Notamacropus eugenii: one gene and its partners. The protein of the gene in region 1 purifies or fractionates together with the protein of each later gene. This does not show direct contact. Links are inferred from orthologs where the notes say so. Each region holds a gene or a part of one and is shown in the gene's direction. Other genes may lie near its edges. The genes, in order: USP18, MAP3K7 and STAT2.

Region 1 (7,025 bases):
AGATCTAAACAATTGGAAAAAATATTCATTGCTCATGGGTAGGTTAAGCTATATACATGTAACTACATATAGTTATAAGAAGATAACAATTCTACCTAAATTAATTCAATACCATATTAAATTAACAAAAATTATTTTATAGGACTAGAAAAAAATAACAATTCATCTGGAGGAACAAAGGGCTAAGAATATCAAGAGAATTAATGGAAAAAAACATGGAGGAAGTTGGCTTAGCCATACTGTATCTCAAACTGTAATATAAAGTGGTAATCATCAAAACAATCTGCTACTGGCTAAGAAATAGAGTGGTAGATCAGTAGAATAGATGAGGGACACAATACATAGTAGTAAATGACTGTGGTAATCTAGTGTTTGATAAACCCCAAAATCCAAAAAAGAGCCCAGTATTTGACAAAAACTTCTGGGAAAACTGTAAAGCAATTTGGCAGAAAGTAGGTATAGACCAACATCTCATACTGTATACCAAAATAAGGTCAAAACAGGCACATGATTTAGACATAAAGGGTAATACCTTAGGCAAATTAAGGGAGCATAGAATAGTGTACCTGTCATATTTATGGATAAAGAAAGAATTTATGGCCAAACCAGAGATAGAAAGCATAATGGGATATTGATAATTTTGATTATATTAAATTAAAAACATTTTGCACAAACAAAAGCAATGTAACCAAGATTAGAAGGAAAACAGAAAACGAGGTGGGAAGAATTTTACCCCAAGTTTCTCTGACAAAGCCCCCATTTATCAAATAAATAGAGAACAGTCAAAGAATACAAAAAAATACAAGTTATTCTCCAATTGATAAATGGTCAAAGAACATGAACAGGCAGCTTTCAGATGAAGAAATCAAAGCCATCTGTAGTCACAAAAAAAAATGCTCTAATTCATGATTGATTAGTTAAATGAAAATTAAAACATCTCTGACATATGACATCACATCAATCCAAGTGGCAAATATGAAAGAAAAAAATAAATGTTGGAGAAAATTGGGACACTGTTGATAGAATTGTGAACTGATTCAACCATTCTGGAGAGCAATTTAGATCTATGCTCAAAAGGTTATAAAAGTGTGTGTATCCTTTGACTTAGCAATACCACTACTGAGCCTGTATCCCAAAGAGACAAAAAAAAGAGAAGGAAAAGGACCTACATGTACAAAAATATTTATAATATTTTTTCTTGTATTGGCAAAGAAGTAAAAACTGAGGGGATGCCAGCAACTGGGAAATGTAGAATACAATTATGCTATAAGGAATGATGAGCAGGATGCTTTCAGAAAAACCTGGAAAGAGTTACATGAACTGATGCAAAGTGAAGTGAGCAGAAACAGAAGAACACTGTATACAGTAACAAAAATATTGTATGATGATCAACTGTGAACAACAGCTATTCTCAGTAATTCTAAAGATGCAAGACAGTACCAAAAGACTCATGACATAAATACCAGTTCCAGAGAAACAATTGGTGGAATCTGAGGACTGATCAAAGTATACATTTTAAACTTTCTTTTTCTTTTTTTGGAGGGGAAGGGAGTTGTATTGCCCAGGCAATATTCACAGCACCGAGGATGACTATGAATATGCCAGTGTAGTTCAGAATCACAGACTCGCCATTTAGAAGGCAGAAGAAAAACATTTATTCAGACTCCAGAAAGTCAAATCCCCAAACCAGAAAGCCAATTCCATCATAGAAGCCAAGAAGTCAATACAAATAATCTTCCCATTTCAATTGCCATTACAGGGGTGTCTGTGTTTTCTTTCACAACATGACTAATATGGAAATATGTTTTGCATGGCTGCACATATTTAACCCGTATCAAATTGCTTGCTTTGCATGGGAACAGGAAGGAGGGTGAGAGAAATTTTGGAACTCAAAATTTAAAAACAAATGTTAAAAATTATTTTTACATGTATTTTTACATGTAAAAAACCAAGAGATTTAAAAAAGAAAAATCGCAAATAAGGTGTGCTAGACATGCTATCTAGAATCAAACAAGGTAGCATCAAATATGCATCAATACAGAACAGAACAAGGATGTTTAACTCCATGTCTCAGTCAATCCCCTTATAATGCAAATTATATTCAGCAAACATAAAGTAATAATACATACAATAGATAGGCCACTTCACAGCTGCTTTAGTCACTATAGGCCTAGTTGACATGTAGAATATATTACAAATCATTAGCATATCTATAAACAAAAGCATAATAGAACAAAAACCTATTCAAACATGAAATGATTAGCACACGTATCAATAAACACGCAATTAAATTCAAGACATGCAATGCGTGGGTAAATATTAGTGTTTATCCTCTATCTGGCCATGTGGATTACCTTTGTCTCAGTTTCCTTTGGAACATCTTAAATTATTCTGTTCCCTGACCATAATCCTCATCAGAACTAATGTATTGTCTACTTAAACCTGAAATTCTGAAGGGCTTAGGCTGACTGATAGTGTTATTATGTTCTAAGGAGTGGTTCTGTATCCCAGGAGAATTTACTGTGGAATAATTAGTCAGAATAGGTATTACCATTCTATTTACTCTCCTCTGATCACATATAGGTAAATACAAAAATAAGTGTATTTAAAAAGTTGTCTATAGCGTATTTTGGGCTTTAATTTGCTGATAATATGATGTGTCTATGCCCATCTTTTGAATTTCCCCTTGTGTCTTTTCTACCATTTTTTTGTATATTTCTCTTTAAAATCAATGTTGTTAAAACTATAGTCATATGAAAAAATGCTCTGAATCACTACTGATTAGAGAAATGCAAGTTAAAACAATTCTGAGTTACCACCTCATACTCATTGAATTGACTAAAATGACAAAAAAGGAAAATGTTAAATGTTTGAGGGGATGTGGGAAAACTGGGACAACAACACAATGTTGGTGGAGTTGTGGAAAATCACTCTGGAGAGCAATTTGGGCTATAAAACTGTAAGCATAAAAGATGTATAAAATGTGTAAAATATACCCTTTGACCAAAGGGCTATAAAACTGTAAACATAAAACATGCATAAAATGTGTAAAATATGTCCTTTGACCCAGTAATATCACTGCTAGGTCTGTATTTTAAAGAGATCATAAAAAAAGAGAAAAGGACCCACATGTATAAAAATAGTTATAGCAGCTCTTTTTGTGGTGTCAAAGAATTGGAAATTGAAGGGATGTTCATCAATTGGGGAATTGTTGAACAAGTTGTGGTATATGAATGTAATGGAATACTGTAAGAAATAAGAAATGGTGAGTAGGTAGATTTCAGAAAAACCTGGAAAGACTTACATGAACTGATGCTGAAAGCAGGGAGCAGAACCAGGAGAACATTGTGCACAGTAACAGTAACGTTGTGCGATGAACAACTTTGATCAACTTAGTTCTTCTCAACAATGCAATGATCTAAGTCTTAGATTCTAAGACAATTCTAAAAGACTCATGATGGAAAATGCTATCCACACCCAGAAAAAGAACTATGGAATCTGAATGCAGATAGAAGCATACTATTTTCTTTCTTTCTTCTCTTACAGTTTTTCCCTTTTGCTCTGATTCTTCTTTCACAATATGACTAATGTGGAAATATGTTTAACATGACATTATATCAGACTGCATGCTGTCTTGAAGAGGAGGTAGGGGACAGGGAAAATTTAGAACTCAAAATCTTATAAAAGTGAATGTTGAAAATTGAAAATAAATAAAAAGGAAAGGAGGGGGAGAAGCCTGGAAAGATTTGTATGAACTGATGCAAAGTGAAGTGAGAGGAACCAGGAGAACATTGTACATAGTAACAACAATATTGTACCCTGATCAACTGTGAATGACAGCTAGTCTAGCAATACAATGATTCCAGACAATCTCAAAGGACTCCTGATGAAAAATGCTATCTGCCTCCAAAGAACTGATGTTTTCTGAACACACAGACTGAAGCATGCTATTTTTCATTTTCTTTTTTTTTGTTTTATTTTGTTCTGTTCAAGTCTTCCAGTACAAAATGACTAATATGGAAATATTTAACATGATTGCCCATGTATAACCTATTGTCAAATTGCTTACTGTATCAGGGAAGAGGAAAGAGAGGGAGAGATGAAGTGATAGAATTTGGATTTCAGGACTTTAAAAAAATGTTAAAAAACTATTTTGACATGTAATTGGGGAAAAATAAAATATTAAAAAAAGAAGGATGGTAGGGATGAGATGTATCTCATCCTGTTCCCACATGGTTTTAATTTCTTCTTCTAGGTCTCTATATTTTTAAAACTTTTCATTCCATGTAGTTGGGAGATTATTGGCATCTATTAAAATGTTCTTAAATTTTTGTGGTTCAAAAAATAATCAATGTTGCTGACAGGTCATCTAACCCAACAGAGTCTGATTGGTATAAAATAATGTTAGAAATGGAAGAGACCTCAGATGAAGATAAGTCCAAGCTCCTTTACAAATGAGATCTCAGAGTCTCAGACAAGCGAAGTGACCTCTCAGGTTACACATTTAATCATTTAGAACCCACCTCTTCTAACTCCCTGCCCAGATAGTGTTCTTTCCATGTCAACTATGCCTCCCTTTTTCTCCTTTTTCAGATGGCATGTAGTTGGTTGTATTATCAGTTTTTGAGAACATTCTATCTCTTTTGAGTCCTGGACCAACTCCTATTTTATTATTCTTATTAATGGGAATCTATAATATTTTTTCTTTTAAAAATATTAGACTAGTAGACATATATTCTTTCTTTTTCACCTGGGGAACTATCTTGCCTAACAAACAATAAAACAGTGGAAAAGTAGTTCATTTAAAAGAGCCAACACAACTGTGTCCCATGTTACGTGCAACACTGCACACTCAACGTCTGTAAAGGAAGTTAGAATGCAAATTTTCTCAATTCCTCTCTGAGTTAAACTTGGTCATTATAATTACACTCTGCTCAGTTTGGCTTTATTGTTTCATTTAAATTGTGTATACTGTTTTCCATCCTAGCATATCAGTTCATTGATGTCTTCCCATGCTTCTGAGTTTCTTTTGTTTTTCTGAGTTTTTTCCTTTTTAAAGGTGGAATAATATTCCATTACATTCTGGTACCCCCACTTGTTTAGTTATTACCCAATCCACCGGCTTCTAACCTGTTTTGTGTGTGTATGTGTGACCACAGAGAGGGTTACTATAAGTATTCTAGAATAAATGGACCATCATTTATTTTCTCGGAACTTAAATGTATATGTTATAGGCCCACATACACACCTGTGTAAAAATATTTATGTACACAATATACATCAGACTGTGAAATCCAAGTCCTGACCTAAGTAAAGAGTGCATCTCACATCTCTTCTATCCCAATCCCATCCTGTCAGCTCCAGTGTACCTGGATCTGCTCTAGGCTTCGAGGTAGAGGTGTGGTACGTTCCTCAGTGACTGGTGCAGGCAAACAGCTATTTACCTCTCTTCCTTCTCCGCAAGAAGAAAGTTTCCTTTCCCGCTGGACTTGGAAACCTGAGAAACAGCGCCGCTGCGGCTTGTTGAGTTTCACTTTCCATTCTGTGGGAAATCAAAACTCAACTCAGCTCACAGTTGCCCTCTGTGGAAAAGCTGCAGAATGTATGCAAGGAAGGCACAGACAAAAGCAGGTCGCTTTCCGGATAGATGCTCACAGAACCTCCTCCGCTGCTTGAGAAGTAGACCCTGTCTCGCGGATGTGCCTTGTTCGCGTTTTACTGTCTGCAGTAAGTGGACTCCCCTCATTCTTCCCTGTACTTGGTTTGTCTCTTGCAGTGGTCCAGGGCTAAGTTGAAGAATTCTTTCCCAAAAGTCTACGGAGTAAATTTGACATATCCGAAGCCACTGCAGGGTTTTTCAGCGCCTGAAACCATTTGGATGGGTAAAAGTTTATTTGTTAAGGTGATTTACAAAGAATTAATTTTTGTATGCATTATCTTGATATTTTAGATCTAAGAATTTTTTAAAAAAATATTTCTGCCTGGGGAATAATGAAATTAAAAATCCTTACACAAAAATAGTGACTCAGTTCTGAGGATACTAAAAATATGGGCTATTTAGGAAATTGACTAAATAAATAAAGACTATTTTCCCCCCTCAAAATTAAATAGACTAAATTTTTTGAGGTCTTGTACTGTCATTTACCTCTTTCTGAATCCCCAGCACTTAGCAAGTACCTGGTACATAGTAGACGCTTAATACATGTATATGGATTAACTGATGGAAAGGGGGATGTTTAGCCGATTAAATAAATGTATTTGCATTCTGCTATGTATGACAAAGCTTAAAAATTATATTTGCCTTTTCTTATAAAATAGATATAAAAAAACTCTAGCACTGGTTTCAGGAATATCTGACTTCAACTTCTGCCTCTGCCGCAGAGAATTGAGGCAGATCTGTTTAGGCAACCGCTTAATTTGCCAGATAGTTCTGCGACCCCTGGCTTTTATTAACTGCATTTTCTGGATAAGTTGGGTAACTTTTTACAACTTTAACAAATTGGTTGGAGTCTTTTAAGAAACCAAAAAAAAAAAAAAAAAAAAAAAGCTTTGCCTCATATTTTTTTAAACAGTATCTGAGCTGAATTTTCTTTTTTCCTTAGGAAAGGAATTAGATATTTCCACTTACTAATTTCCTCAAAATAACTGGATCGTGACATATGCAAACACATTTACTATTTAACTTGCTTATAATAATAACAAACAGGAAAATAATGTTTATGAAAATATGAAAATTAACTGCAAAATAAATCCAGTAGTGCCAGCAATTTTATCTTCTTTAATCAGGTTGCTATTAAGTCATTTGGCTATAGGAAGTAATTCAATAAATGACCAGAAACAATATGATTGTAATGGTGTTAAAATGGACTCTAGGATTTATTAAGAGTATTATGCTGAAATGCTCAGATCCTGATTAACTGATCATATAATAGTCATCCATAAACAGTTTTTGACTTCTGGCATCCATATTGTTGCCATATGAGGAGGTCAGCACAGAGTATGCAGCGTATAATGAAAATGGTTCA
Region 2 (7,868 bases), on another chromosome or scaffold:
CTATATTGAATTGCTTGCCTTCCCAAAGAGAATGGGTGGGGAGGGAGGGATGAAGAGAAGTTGGAACTCAAAGTTATAGGAACAGCTGTCGAGTACTGTTCTTGCTACTAGGAAATAAGAAATACAGGTAATGGGGTACAGAAAGTTATCTGGCCCTACAGGACAAAAGAGAAGATGGGGACAAGGGAAGGGAGGGATGATAGAAGAGAGGGCAAATTGGTGATAGGGGCAATCAGAATGCTTGGTGTTTGGGGGTGGAGGGAGGGGACAAATGGGGAGAAAATTTGGAACTCAAAATTTTGTGAAAATGAATGCTAAAAGTTAAATAAATAAATTTTAAAAAATAAAAAATAAAAATAAAACAGGTGACAACACTAAATTCAATCCCATCCTGACATTGTACAAGCTACAAATGCTTGCTTAGCAGCTGAGAGGCAATCTTTAAAAGCATATTTGAAAAGTGAATAAAAATCCATATAAAACAAATATTCAAATAGTTTCCATAGGAGCACAGATAAGTATGATCCCATCTGTTAGTCTTCCATATTGTTGCATTCGTGCCTACCTCATTCTTAAAAAACATTTAAAAACTCAAGCAGGAATTAAGTTAATGATTACCCCCAAATGCTCTAATTCAAGCTAAACTTGCAATTAATGGCTACAAAGAACATCTATACAATAACACTATCTGAAGTGGAGGTTATTGAGTGATGTTCCATTCTACCTTCCCAAGCACAAGACACTATCAAAGTGTTGATGTCCTGGTCCTCTACTTCTGTTAGAAACCTTGGTTCTTGGAGAACAGAATGAAGCAGACTGTTTTCTCTTGTGTTATGTTTTGTTTTGATTTTTCTCATGGTTTCTCCCATTCGTTTTGTGTGTTTGTCCTTCATCACTGAAGAAGACCATGCCATCAGAGAAATAATGACATGACTTGCACTTGACTTTGTTTTGAGTGAGAGAGGGCTGTGTACGTCACCAGCCTCACTTTTCCTCCAGAGCCATCTGAATCCAGTGACCAGATATTCATCAGGATGACTGGAGACCCAGGATGAGGTAGTTGGGGTAAGTGACTTGCCCAAGGTCACACAGCTAGTGAGTGTCAAGTATCTGAGGTAAGATTTGAACTCAGGTCCTCCTGACTCCTGCACTGGTGCTCTATCCACTGCACCACCTAGCTGCCCTCCCATTCATTTTAATTCTTCTATGGAACATCACCAATGTGAAAATGTATTTAATAGGAATGTATGTGTATTGCATGCCGTCTTGGGGAGGGAGAGGGGAGGAAATCTAAGATGTGGTGATTGTAGAAAACTGAAAACAAATAAATTTTTTTAAAAAAGAAAAAAAGAAACCTTGGTTCTTCCTTCATTGTATGTATTGCCATGCTGTCCCAGATATCAGATAACAGATAGTGCATCACTGGAATCCATTTAAGCAGCATCGACAGTATAGGAGCCCATGTTTTCAAACAGCATCTAGTCTCCTACATGCATTTCTGGTAAATTGCCACATTCAGCAATTCGATCAAGGCCATCACATGTTGGTCCCCATATGCTAGAAGAGTAATACTTCTCATCTAGTTTGGGTCTCTTCTGTAGAATAGGTTTAACATCAAACAGGATGCAATTAAATGGTCCATAGAATCCATCACTGGCATAGTACGTAAAGGTTTGATCATTTGCCTCATCTTCATCATCAGAACCTGTTTCTTTAATACAAGTTTTTTTGGCAATGCGGTTAACTCCAAGAATGAAAGCTAATGCAACACAGTATCTGCCTGGTTCAACTATGATTCTCACTCAAGAGTCAGAAAGAAAATACTTGTCCAATGCTGGACTGGTTATATTTGAGATCTCTTCACACTTAAGCTTTACATCCTCAGAACCAGGAAAACCACCACCAATAACAAGAAGAAACATGTTGAAACCAAATTCTACCCCCATGTCTAAGATCATCAGTGATCAGAAACTGGTTGGACAAAGGTTTCTGGATCAGTACAACCACTTCCCGTGTGAAAACTAACTACAATAACATCAATATTCAGTTCCTTTGCCCAAGTATAGTGACCCTATATTTTCTAAGGACTAAACAAGTATAACACAAGCCCCTAGCTGATCCTATCAAAATGGGAAGGCTTTGAATAAGAATTGAGTAAGGTCTGTGTTTGTCCAAGGACTGCCTTAGCTAAATGTGTTATGAAAGCACCTAGTATACCAATGTTATACAGTATGATCAAATGTATCAGATTAAACATCGTAATATACCAAGTATTCAAATTTTTGTGATTTTAGATCTTAGCAGGAACCCAAGACAGTATCTAGTCCAACTCTTTAAACTTCCTTTTACATAGGATGAACCTGAAACAGAAGTTAAGTGACTTGTCCAAGGTTACATGAGAAATGTCACAGTTTACATTTAAACCCAAATCATCTGACACAAAATCCAAAACTCTTTCCAGTACCCAAAGCTATTTCCAGTTCTAACGCAGATATTTGCAGGCTGTGTGACCCTGGGCAAGTTATTTAAGCCTCTCTGTGCCCCAGTTTTCTTAATTGTGAAATTTAAGGAAATAACTACTTGTTGTACCTGCCTCATATATAGGACAGTAAGGCAAGGGTTTGATTATGCCTGGGGAAGTAGGTCAGATCTCAATTGCTTTCCCAGCAAATATGCAAAGGAATTAAGATCCTCTAATTTGTACGGCGCAGAGAACAATCTGTGACTTCTTTACTGATGTCCCAAAGGCATCTTGAACTCCACATATCCAAACCAGAATTCATTATCTTTACCCCCATACTTCACCCAGTATGCCAGATTCATAACCTTAGTGTCATCCTTTACTCCACACTCACTCACCTATTTAATGTTACCAAATCTTGGTTTTTGCCATACATCTCTCCTGTGTATCTCCTGCTCTTCATTCACATATAGCCACCACCCTAGTCTAAGCTGTCATCACCTGCCTGTATTATTATTATAACCTCCTTATTAGTCTCCCTCTACCTGTCTTATTTCTTACCACCCAAATTCATACTCCACTCATTTGCCAAAATGATCTTCCTAAAGTAAAAGTCTGTCATGTCACTCCCCCTCAATAAATTCTAGGGGCTTTCTATTAGCTCCAAGATTAAATATAAAGTCCTTTTTGGGAGTGGGAGGGGGAGCGGTGTTGGGGGGGGGCAGCTAAAGCTTTTCACAACCTGGTTCCTTTCCTACTCTTCCAATCTGTCTAACCTCCTCCACATTTTAAATCCTACTATACCAGCCTACTGGCTGTTCTTCATATCTGCGCTTTATATCTGAAGGCCCTCCACACCTTTGCCTCTTAGAATGTCCAGCTTCTTTCAAGTATCAATTTAATTGCCCCTTCCGATCATTCCTGGCGGTCTTGGCTGCCAGATCTTTCTCTTCTTTTACCCTCCAATTTAATGCTGATTTGTGTTGTGTGTACCTTTTGATTGACATGTCTCCTTATTAGAAAGTAAGCTCTAGGGCAGGGAATTTTTGTTTACTTTGTATCCCCAGCTCTTAGCACAATGCCTGACACCTAGTAAGCCTAGTAATAAACGAGATTTATATATAGCTTCCTAAGTGCCGAGTGCTTTCCAATTATTCTCATTTGATCCTCAATACAACCCTGCGAGGTAGGTGCTATTATTATCTCCATCTTACACATGAGAAAACTGGGGCAAACAGGTTAAATCTATGGTCTACAGTTGAGTTTGAGGTTAGATCTGAACTCTGGTTTTCTTCTCTACAGGGCAGCTAGGTAGTGCAGTGGGACAGAGCACCAGGACTGCAGTCAGGACCTGAGTTCAAATATGCATCCTCAGACGCTTACCAACTGTGTGACCCTGGGCAAGTCACCTAAACCTTCTTTGCCACGGCTTCCCCATCTGTAAAATGAGCAGAAGAAAATGGCAAGCCACTCCAGTACCCCTGCCAAGAAAACCCCAAATGGGGTCGGAAATGACTGAACACCTGGGTTCTCTCGGGACAGAATCACTCAGTATGGTTAAGACTTGGGGAGTATTCTAGCTGGCAGTGACGGAGCCTGAAGCCCCCCGGCACTACTCCCATTATTGACTCCCTGGGCACAGAAGCCCTGGCATAGGCTCACTGCCACCGGGCAGATGGTCAATAAATATTGCCAGCCGGTTTAACTTCTGTCACAGGTCATTAAACGGAGGAAACGCATTCCGGGCTCCCAGGAGCCGCAGCTCCAGTTACGGTGGAAGGTCAGGGCGGGACACGAAGTTTACGGGGAGGAGTCCCGCAGTTCCACGCAGCGCGGAGGGAAGATCCCTCTCTCCCCGACCTCGGCTTCCTTCCCTCGCCGCTGCCCCCTACCCACACAGGGTGCTCAAGGGGCGGGGCTCAGAATTTTCTTCCCAAACTAGGGAGAGAAATAGAGCGGTGGTCACTTCCACTCGGGATAGTCGGGTTCCCGAACCAAGGCAGGCTTTCCCGCTTCACCCGAGTAAACGCGTCCCGATCGCTTCTCCGCAGAGGTGCCAGTCAAGAGCAAAGCAGACGTTCGCGCTTTAGGTTCTGATTGGCACCCAGATCTCGCGGGATCTCCCTCCTAGAGAGGAGGGTCTGCACCCACCCCCGCTACGGCGCTCTCGGGAGGTGCAGGCTAGAAGGCCCGGCTCCCTCCGCTCCTTAGTCTTCTTTTATTGCTCCCAGGATACAGCGCGCCGGGACCGCAGGGCAAAGTCCTGCAGACCCGCGGCTGTCCCTTCTTCCGGTTTCCGAGCGGAACCGGAAGATTAGGAGGCGGGTCCTCCCCTCCCCGACCGGAAAGGGCAGTCGAGCCCGAGCCGGGACACGGCCTCGGCCGCTATCCCCACCACGGCTCCCCGGGCCCCCGGGTCCCCGGACTGTCGGTGTCCGGGCTGAAGGTCGGTCCGGACGACGGAGGACGCAGCCCTCCGGACTGTCGGGGCGGCCTCTCCCCGGCTGCCGAGAGGGATCATGTCTACTGCCTCAGCTGCCTCCTCCTCCTCCTCCTCTTCGGCGGGTGACATGATCGAGACCCCCTCGCAGGTCCTCCACTTCGAAGAGATCGACTACAAGGAGATCGAGGTGGAAGAGGTGGGTGCCGAGCCTTTGTCCCTTCCTGCCCGCCCTAGACGAGCCTTCGTGGGCCTGAGGCTGGAGCTGCCGCAGAGGGGCCGGGGAGGTGCGGGGTGGGAGAGCCTGCCCTTTTCCGTTCGCTGCAGAAGTTTGGCCACAGTACTTCATTGCTTTACGTCGAGATGCCGGGAATAGCAGGCTCCGTAACAGGCTTTCCAGAACAAGACTTAGTTTCCCTCTTTGTCAACAATACTCTCGAGGAACGTGGTGGGACAGTTCCCCATTCCGCTGCTCCCCCAGCCCCAATTCTAATACAGATCCAGTTAAAGCTTAGTGCTGTATCCACAAAGCAGTGGTGACCAGTTAGGTCCTATGCTTTCGAGCTGAAAGGGACCTTGAGATTATCTAGTCCTACCTTTTCACTTTACAGACGCAGAAACTGAGGCCCAGAGGAAGGTTCGGTGACTTTTCCAGAGTCATACTGGTAGTGAAGTAGCGGTGCTGGCCGGAGTTTGCACCAGACTCTCCTTTGACTCCAAATTTGAGAGGATAGGCTGGAAGTCAGCTGTTAGTTAGGATGCTAGGTTTTCGAGATGGAAGGGTGAGCTTTAAAGCTCATTTCATTTAATTATTTTATGAATTACTAAATTCATAAATTTTAGTATTTTTAATATTTTATGAATTACTTATTTCATGAATTACTGAAAAAGGGAAAGCCTGAGCAAAGAGGGTTGCGCTATGAACTGAGGAGACAAATGATAGGGGATAATGCAGAGGTAGAGTCAACGCGGTTCGGGTTGTTGGTTTCCTTCGAAAAGAAAGAATAAAAAATGAATGAGGTTACTAGCAGAATGGTGATGCTTTTGATAGAAAACTTCGAGTTAGGGGAAAAGAGATTGGGAGTTGGGGTTTTTAACTACATTTTGTTAGAAAGTAAACTTTTAAATTAGCTCTCTACATTTATAATGCTTACATATTATTTGACTGCAAAGTGATTTCATCTTTCTGAGCCTCTTTCCTGCTCTGCACACTAAGAGTGGTCAAACTACCAAAATTCTAAAGTCCCTCTAATTAGGTTCTTTGATCTTATAAAAATTGTGTTGACAACACTTCATAAAGGAATCAGTTGTGTAGAGTGAGGTTTAGTTCTCTTAAATCAAACTGATTCTTGAATGTGAATATGTAAAGGAAACATAAAATGGGATTGCTAAAATTAAAGATTAAGATGGTTTTCATACATGGTTCACATTAATGATCAGGTATATTATGCAGTCTATAGAGTGCCATAAACATCACAAAGTTATGCAGAGATGCCGCATAATCCAAATTTGATCTAGAATTTTAAAAAAAGTTGATTGTAAGTTATTGTTAGAAAACCTGAATCCTTCCTTAATCACAGTTCTACTTCACTTTTTCCTTCTGGAGTGTAATAAAGTTAATTCATTAGTTTTTGTCTATCTAGGTGATAGAAGTGTGATTGAGATTATAACATATGTTAAATAAATGCTATTTAGAAGTAAGATCAGGTACACATTTTGCCTACCTATCTGCATTGGTTAAAAATTTTTTTCCTTGCCAGGAGTTCCTCAAAGTACTGAAATTGTTGGTTCAGACCAAAACGACAAATTGTGTATAAAAAAATATTAAAAGACAAATTTCTGAAAAGTTTTAAGGAAATTGACATTAGCAGTTAACTAAACAGTTTGAATATTTTACACATTTATTGGGTACTCTTTTAAGAGTACTCACTCTAAAGTTAGAGGTCCTACCCAGGCTTCAAGTCCTTTTTCTACCTCTCTAGTTTTAAGCCAAGTCGATTAACCTCCTTGAACCTCAGTTTCTTCATCTAGAGAATAAGTGTGTTGAACCAGATGGCCTTTAAAGTCCACTTACAGCTCTAAATATATGATCATATGATCTCCTGTATTAGAGGCATTTTAAAGAACCACATCTTAAGCTGACATGTTTCCAGTCCTTAAAGTACATATTCAGCTTTTAAACTTTACAGTACTTATTCTATAATGGCAATTACTGATAGTATAACAAAGTATATTTTATTATATATGGAAGAATTTTTTTTCTCCATTTTATATGTGTGTGAATAACTTAGTGGAGATACTATACTATATGAGGTCATATAGACAAGAAAAGAATCTTATTTTGTGAATAAAACATAAGAAAAATATTTTATAATTCATATTGATTATGAAAACCCAGAGAACCCTTAAGAAGAAATAGTATGGTTCCATTGTTATTTGAAAGGAATTTCTTTTTTGAAATAAAAGTCAGTCTTTTTTTATGTCATTGAGAGATAAATTTTGAGATCAAAATTTGTGTCATATATAAAAATTGTATTTTTTCCTTTAAAAATTTATGCCAGTGAACTTCTGTGTCTATGGATCAAGGTTTGTGTAAAAATTATAGTATGTAAGTTAGCAGAGCTGGGATTTGCACCCAGATCTTATGATTCTAAATCTTTTATTCTGTCCTTACCACAGAATTTGTGATTAGGCCTCCATAGAAAAGGGAGAAATTCATAGACTAATTCACAAGAGTTATTCAATTCCTACTTTGTGTGCAAAAGACTATATTAGAATTATAAGACATAGCTTCTCTTGATTAAGAGGTCTGGTTCAGGAAATAAAACACATAAGTGGGAAAAGTTGTTGGAGCTATGCAGAACAAAGCCTCACAAAATCTTGGGAGTTGGAAGAGACAAGAGATCATCTACTCCAACTCATAATTGAGTAGGAATTCCCTCTACCACACTCCTAACCAATGAATGA
Region 3 (7,101 bases), about 24 Mb from region 1:
GATTACAAGGTGTTGGCAAGACTTAAGATCCTACTGTCTCTGTAGCTCTTGGGCAAATTTCAGTTGAGCTGGGGATTCATCATTGCTCACTTGTCCCTCCAGAGAGACTATACCCATGAACCTGAGGGGTGATCTATCAAATTTCACAACAAGCATGTGAGTTTGTCCTGGTTCTGTTCCCATAGACCCCAAGTCCCATTTCCAGGCTTTTGTCCTCCATGCTATTCAGAGTTTTCATCTGAGGCTTGAAGTGTCATGCAGTATCAGCTAAAACTTCCTGAATTAAAGGCTATCATAATGTGCCGAGTTGATCAAAAAGTCCTGGCCAAACATTTCCTAATACCCTCTACCCCAAGACTTGCAGCTTCTCGGTGAAGAGCACAGTCTGCTTGTTTTCTTGGATAAAATTCAGGCTATATAGAATAACTAGTCCTTTGGGGGTGAGGGGACAGAAACTCTAAATAGTTTGCAAATGCTTCACATGAAGACTAGTAACCCAATCTTCCTAAAGTTTTGATGAGCAATTAAAGCTTACATTAAACAGGAATAGAAAGACATGTTATTTCTCTCTTTATGTCCAGTAAAACCTAGTTTAGTGGTTGTAATAGGTGCTTAATAAGTGTAGATTTTTTTAATTGACTAACTAGAATTAAAGGGTCCAAGAGGCTGTAGAGAGGGGAAAGAAACACCCCAGTTTCACTGAAACTTAAGATAGATACAAGCTGTTGATTAAAGGACCCATACCTGACCAGTTCTATCTTGGTCTCTCTCCCTTTAGCTTCCAGACCCTCTTTGCACACATATACTTAATGCATACATATACTTAGATGTCTATAATCATACTCATATAGACATACACATTCACATGCATTATGTAAGACCGTGCTATATTTATTTGACCTCTTTCTCTGAGGGTGGATAAACTCTTCCTTCACAAGTCCAAGTCTTTCCATTTCTCATTTGTGGGGGAAATCTGGAGAGTTTGGAACTTTCTGACCTACTCAGTCATCTTCCCAGAATCATCGCCCCTTGACCACACTTTCTTTGTCTCTTCCGAATTTCAACCACCTAGACCCTCTGCTCTATTCCCTCATTAAGCAAATATTGAGCATGTACTTTGTATTTACCCTTTACTAATATCCTCTAGTGCTTCATAATTTCATGGAGGAGACTCTAGGTCAGGGGTGGGGAACCTGATGTGTCAAGGCCACATGTGACCCTCTAGGTCCTCAAGTGCAGCCAAAACTTTGACTGAATCCAATTAAATAAGGACTTAGATCCTTAAAGGTTATGTGAATTCGATGCAAACTAACAGATCTACTGCATGAGAAAAATTGCAAATATGTCACCAGTAACTGTCTTGACTGAAGACAATTTCCCAGACTGAAGACTGGGAAAGTTTGGAGAATCTCAGACTACTCTTTTATCTTCCACAATGTCCATTCCCTAGACTTCTCTGAACCTGAGCAGGAACCTGGTGGCATGGGTGACAGGCAAATAGCAAGGAAAAGAAACTGCCCAGTTAATTGCCTTTTTCCTAATGAAGATGAAAGCATAATAATAGTAGCTTACCTTATATAGCACTTTGTACATATTCCTTTTGATTCGCAGTGGAAATAACAACAATAACCCCTATTATTATTGCAGCTGCCATGTGCCAGGCATGGTGCTAAGGACTTTACAAATATCCCATTTGAAAATGTTATCTCACTTATCTTCACAACTGAGAGGTAGGTCATATCATTACCTCTATTTTCCAGTTGAGGAAAACAGAGGTTAAATGTCTTGCCCAAAGTCACACAGTCTGAAGCTGGATTTGAACTGTGGTCTCCCCAAGTCCAGATTCAAGGCTGTACCCACTGCATCGTCTAGCTATTGTCCCTGCTACATTGATGAACAAACAGGTTCATGGAAGTTAAATGAATTAAGTGTCATAGAACTTAGTAAGGAATAAGACTTGGACTCAAACCCTCTAACTTTATATGGTTTTCTGTTCACTTTCCTACATCACAAGAAAACAAGGGATGATCTGTTGCAAGATGGACAAATATTTACAGTGATCACATCTCTTGCCAATCTTTGGGATCGAATAGGAGGAGGAGGGGCGAGTGGAGAAGTCCACAACTGGAAAGTTACAAGGCAGTGAGACCTACAAAGGAGAGGCTGTGTGGCTCTTAAACAGGTGGGTATACTTCTTGTTTTTGTTCGATGAGAAATGATTCTCTAGCTTTCCACAAAGACAAAGATGAAGAGACCAGAATTGGCAGGGGAGGATAAAGAGCACAAATTCTTGCATAATCAGTCCAAAAATTCCCACCTTGTCTGTTGGTACCAAGTTATTGAGGTGGAGGTTGTAATAGGGATAGAATTGTTCCCTGACTGGGATCTGAATCCTTTCAGACTTCAACCAGAATAGCTTTGTGTCTCCTTTATATTCCTCTCTAGCAAGGCTGTATCCACTACCCTCCAAAATGCCTGTGATGGTCCTTCTATGCAGCCTCCTGCTATACCCAGTAGCTGCCCTCCCAGATGGATCCCATCCCAAGGCCCTACCCCTCCCAACTTCGTCCCTGGAGTCCCAACCAACCACTCTCAGCCCCCTTTCCTGTTGGAACCTGATGCCTGAGTCTCTTCCCGATTTCAACCGCCTAGACCCTCTGCCTAAGTATCTGATTAGCCTGGCCTTCTACATAACCCTGGAGAGAGCAGGATGCCCAGCGGATGCCCACGACCTTCGGCAGCGACTCCATAGACTGGGCGGGGTGAAAGCCACAGAGACTCTCATCCAACAGCTCCAAGGCCTTCCAAGGACCAGAAGAGAAAGGAGATCGGACTGGGTCCTGTTCTCTGCTCTGCAGCTCCTGGGCCGGAGAAGTGAGAGGTCCAGAAGGGCGCCTCGTTCCCTCTCGACCGCGGACTGTGTCTATGAGAAGGAGCGAGGAGTGCACAATGTGATGCGGTACCTGCCCCAAGTGGGGACTTACTACAACCTTGGGACAGCTTTCTATTATGCTGCCCAGAACTGCACTGCTCAGGCCTGGGAGCGAGGACAGGAAGCGGCGCTGGACCTGGGCTACGATCTCCTTGTTGGACTCATGGGGGCAACAGGGGGGCCTGGGGGGGTGATGGCCGGTTTGGCACTTAAGCCGGCGGTCAAAGCTGGGGTTCAGAAACTGATCGAATATTATTACGGTAATAAGGAGGAGTCAGGAAGCCCAGCCCAGGGCACAGAGCAAAGGTGGCAGGACTGGAGAGCCAGCACAGAATTGGGCCCTGGGGTGTCTCCGGCTATGGGCAGCAGCGATCGCACGGCTGATGAGGTGACAGGGGACAGCTCCCTGTGGAACTGGGGGAGGGGGGCATGAAAGAAGGAGTCGGAGAGGGACGTCTGTATCAGTATGTGCGAGTGCTTAATAAAGGCTTGATTGTTCTCCGCATCTGTGTCTGCGCTTAATAAAAGATGGCTGGAATTTTAATTTGGAATTTAATCTCTAGGTCATGTAGGAAACTGAGGGAAGCCAGGTCAGTGGCACTCGAAGAAAACGGTGAGGCTTAGGTTTGAACTCGTGAGCCTAAATCCTCTTCACTTCTGCCAGGGTCTCTCTTTACCTGCTGCGCCGCCTCGGGGCCGGCTCTCGAGCTGCTCCCCAGGTTGACTGACAGCCTTTAGTTTCATCTCTAGCTTGAGCTCTTCTCTTTTCCCCTGTAGCTCCGCCTCAATTCCAGGAAACCATCAGCCTCCCGGGCTCAATCTTTGACTTTTCATTGGGCTATTCTTCCAGCGGGACTCCCTCCCGCCGCGGAAAGAAGGCGGAGTTTGGCTGGACCTTCAGTCCAATCACTGCGGGCGGAAGGCGGGGCTTTTCCTTCATGCCCCACCCTTTGACGAGGGGCGGGGCTTGTCGTTCTGAGGAAGCCTTCGAAGAGCCAGAAGAGGCTGGTGGAGAGCGCGGAGTGACGCGCTGGAGCTGCCGAAGGGAGGGGTGTCCAGACCCGGAATAGCTAGGCGGAGGGAGGAGCCTGAGAGTGAGGGGGTGGGGCTTCCAGTGTTTAGGGTCGAGCAGGCAGGCGAGTGCTGGGTCCCTGAGCCGCGAGACTGGGGGAGCGACACCAGCCAGGTAAGGAGGCCGCGAGCCCCCTTGGGAGGGCGAAGCATGGGCTCCGGGCAAGCGATCGTAGGTTCTGAGGAGAGGGTGGGCCTCCAGGAGACCTTGGAGTCTGACACCCGCCATTAGCCGCGGCCCCTGAACTTGGATGCACGGCCCGCCCCCCCTCCCCTCGACTCCCTACTGTGCAGCCCCCGGCCCCTGATCCCCATCCCCTGCCCCTTCATGTATCACCCTCCTCAGCCCTTCCTTTTCCTCTGTGATATTCCAGTCTTGGCTCTCTATTCTCTTTCTTCCCTAGAACTCATTAGATGGTGGCGGAGGGTGCTTTTAAAAAATACAGTATATAATTTGTGAAAATAACATTTTAAGGGGGGGAGTGGGAGGGGCGGGGGCGGGAGTTGTATCTCTTCTCCTCCCCTCCCCCCCACGCCGTATTTGAGGCTTTTAACACCAGATCATTTTTTCTCTTTACTGATGCATGAAGTCTCAGGGGAAGAGAGATTGGCAAACGTCAATCCCCAGCACCTTTCACTACCCCACAGTATTTCTGACAACAGGTAGCCCAGGAGGGGGGCGGGGCCAGGGGAGGGGGCGGGGCCAGGGGAGGGGCGGGGCCAGGGGCGGGGGGGCGGGGAGGAGAGGGAGGCTTTGACAAGTTTCACCAATTTGGGCACCTAGCCCGGGAATGTACTGTCAACTTTCTTCCAATATCTGAGTTGGATTCCTCTCTTTTCAGTTCTAGGATTTAACCTCTAAAATCAGGGTCATTTCGTATTTCCTGATCAGCTTGTGTCCCCTTTCCCACTAAAATTTTTAACTCCCTTACAACTTTTCATGACCCAAAAGGAAATTAGTCTGTAGAGTCCATTTACTATATGGGGGGGAAATATATACATTTATATATGTAAATCTAACATAAATATATAATACAAATAGATCTATATACATATATGTGCGCATATATGTATATGTGCATTTGGATAGGTATTTAGCTTCAAATATAGCTACACAGTTCATATCTATATACATGTATACATGTGTAATTTGTGTTCATTAATGTGCATAATGCACACATGCATATGCATGCAGTGTGTTTATGCATGTATGTGTATTTTGTGTGTTTACATATAAATACATATATTCGTGGGCAGCTGGGTAGAAAGATAGACTTAAAACTCATAAGATATGAGTATTTCTGGGCTCCCAGTCTTCAACCAGGTATTCCCACTGCCCCTTTCTGATCCTTTGGGTAAATCTGTTCCTGTGTTCTGCTTCCTCTTTGTGTTAACATCACATTAGTTTCCTTCCCCTACCAACTGAAACTCCTCTTATGACCAAAATTAAAAACACTTCAGCATAGCCAGTCAACGCAGAAACTGTACAGTATTCTAGCACCGTAGTACCCCACCTCTTCAATAAAGGGATAGGGCTCGATTTTCTCAGTTCTTTTCATAGGGCAAGCTTGGTCATTATAATTACATAGCATTCAGTTTTTTAAATTGTCCTTTTATTTTTTAATCATTACATATATTGTCTTCATGGTTCCGTGTGAGGCAAAGATTGTTTTCCCCAAGCATCTTATCCTAGCTGCATTGATTTCATTTATGCAAAAGCTTTTCAATTTCAAGTAATCAAAATCATCTGATTCCCCTTTTGTGATTGTCTCTTTAACTTGTTTAAAAATTTCTTCTCTAGTCATAGTTTTGTTTTGACAATTTTTAAAGTATTTTTTTCAAGTATGCATTTGTAATTCATTGTGGTATATAGATGCCAGGCAGCTATGTGGTACAGTGGATGAAGTGCTGGGCCTGAGGTGAGGAAGACCTGAATTCAAATATGAAGTCAAATACTAGCTGGGTGGCCCTAACCAAGTCACTTAAACTGTCTAATCCTCAATCTTAATCTGTGAAATAGGGATAATAATAGAACCTACCTTGCAGGTTTGTTGTGAGGTTAAAATTGTAATATTCTTTGCAATCTTAAAGCACTCTGTAAATACTAGCTACTAGGTTGTTGTTGACGATGATCTAAACCTAAATTTCTGACAAACCATTTACCAGTTTTCTCAGTGTTTTTGTCAGAGTTCTTTTCCAAGAATTTTGTTCTCAATTCAATAAACACCAAGTTACTGAGTTTGATAGTCTCTGATTCTTGCTTCACAAGTCTTTTCCACTGATTTACTTTGCTACATTTTAACCAACACCCAATAATTTTGTTAATTGCTATTTTTTAATACACTTTGAAGTCTGGAAGTGCCATCCTAACTTTAATCTCCTTTTTTTGTTATCTCCTTGAAATTCCAGACGTTTGCTCCTCCAAATGAACTTGGTTATTATTTTGCTAGCTCTTTAAAATATATTCTTGGTAGTTTGGTATAGGACAATAAATTTAGGTAGCAGTATTTTTTATGATATTGATCTACACCAACCATGGAAAAATAAGTAGCCCTCCAATGATTTTAGTTTTTCTTTAAAAAAAAATTGATATCTTTTACGCTTGCATAACTGTTATCTTTCTTACCCCTAACAAAAGGAGGCCATTGCTTGTGACAAAGAAAAATGAAAACGTGAGAAAAAAGTGTAGTTCCCCCAAACTAACCAATACAGCAAGCGGAATTTGACAGTATGTACAATGTTCCACATGCATAGTCCCCTCCCATCTCTGCAAAGGAGGGAGAAGCACTTTTTCATCTATAAAATGACAAAGTTGAGCCAGATTATGATACTGTATCTCCTTTAAAGTCAGACTTGGTCCTTATAATTGACCAGTGTTCAGTTCTGGTTTTCTCTTTCTTTTTGTTGACATTGCCTTCTTGTGCATCTACGATTTATTTAATGTTAATTTTTTCTTATTACACAGTAATTTTCCATTATACTAATTTACCACAATTTGCTTAACTAATCTGCAATTAAAGAGCATCTACTTTGTTTCCAATTTTTTGTCATCACAAAAAGTGTTACAATGAAGTTTTTGGCCTATGACATTCCTGTCT

What was found.
Region 2: the proteins of USP18 (region 1) and MAP3K7 purify together in Homo sapiens (affinity purification with western blotting; 4 studies listed by BioGRID, with this or other methods). This does not show direct contact. The link is inferred for Notamacropus eugenii from reciprocal best matches to the Homo sapiens genes USP18 and MAP3K7.
Region 3: the proteins of USP18 (region 1) and STAT2 purify together in Homo sapiens (affinity purification with western blotting; 6 studies listed by BioGRID and IntAct, with this or other methods). This does not show direct contact. The link is inferred for Notamacropus eugenii from reciprocal best matches to the Homo sapiens genes USP18 and STAT2.

What each region holds. Positions count from the first base shown.
Region 1 is NC_092874.1:207,782,891-207,789,915, forward strand, and holds the start of USP18 (ubl carboxyl-terminal hydrolase 18), read left to right. Parts: upstream 1-3,961; 5' UTR 3,962-5,727; intron 5,728-5,756; exon of another isoform or gene 5,757-5,902; intron 5,903-7,025. UniProt on the Homo sapiens protein: Interferon-induced ISG15-specific protease that plays a crucial role for maintaining a proper balance of ISG15-conjugated proteins in cells. Regulates protein ISGylation by efficiently cleaving ISG15 conjugates linked via isopeptide bonds.
Region 2 is NC_092873.1:164,561,777-164,569,644, reverse strand, and holds the start of MAP3K7 (mitogen-activated protein kinase kinase kinase 7), read left to right. Parts: upstream 1-4,800; 5' UTR 4,801-4,980; coding exon 4,981-5,100; intron 5,101-7,868. UniProt on the Homo sapiens protein: Serine/threonine kinase which acts as an essential component of the MAP kinase signal transduction pathway. Plays an important role in the cascades of cellular responses evoked by changes in the environment.
Region 3 is NC_092874.1:231,637,269-231,644,369, reverse strand, and holds the start of STAT2 (signal transducer and activator of transcription 2), read left to right. Parts: upstream 1-4,022; 5' UTR 4,023-4,118; intron 4,119-4,593; exon of another isoform or gene 4,594-4,666; intron 4,667-7,101. Other genes in the region: APOF (apolipoprotein F), read left to right, coding at 2,472-3,365. UniProt on the Homo sapiens protein: Signal transducer and activator of transcription that mediates signaling by type I interferons (IFN-alpha and IFN-beta).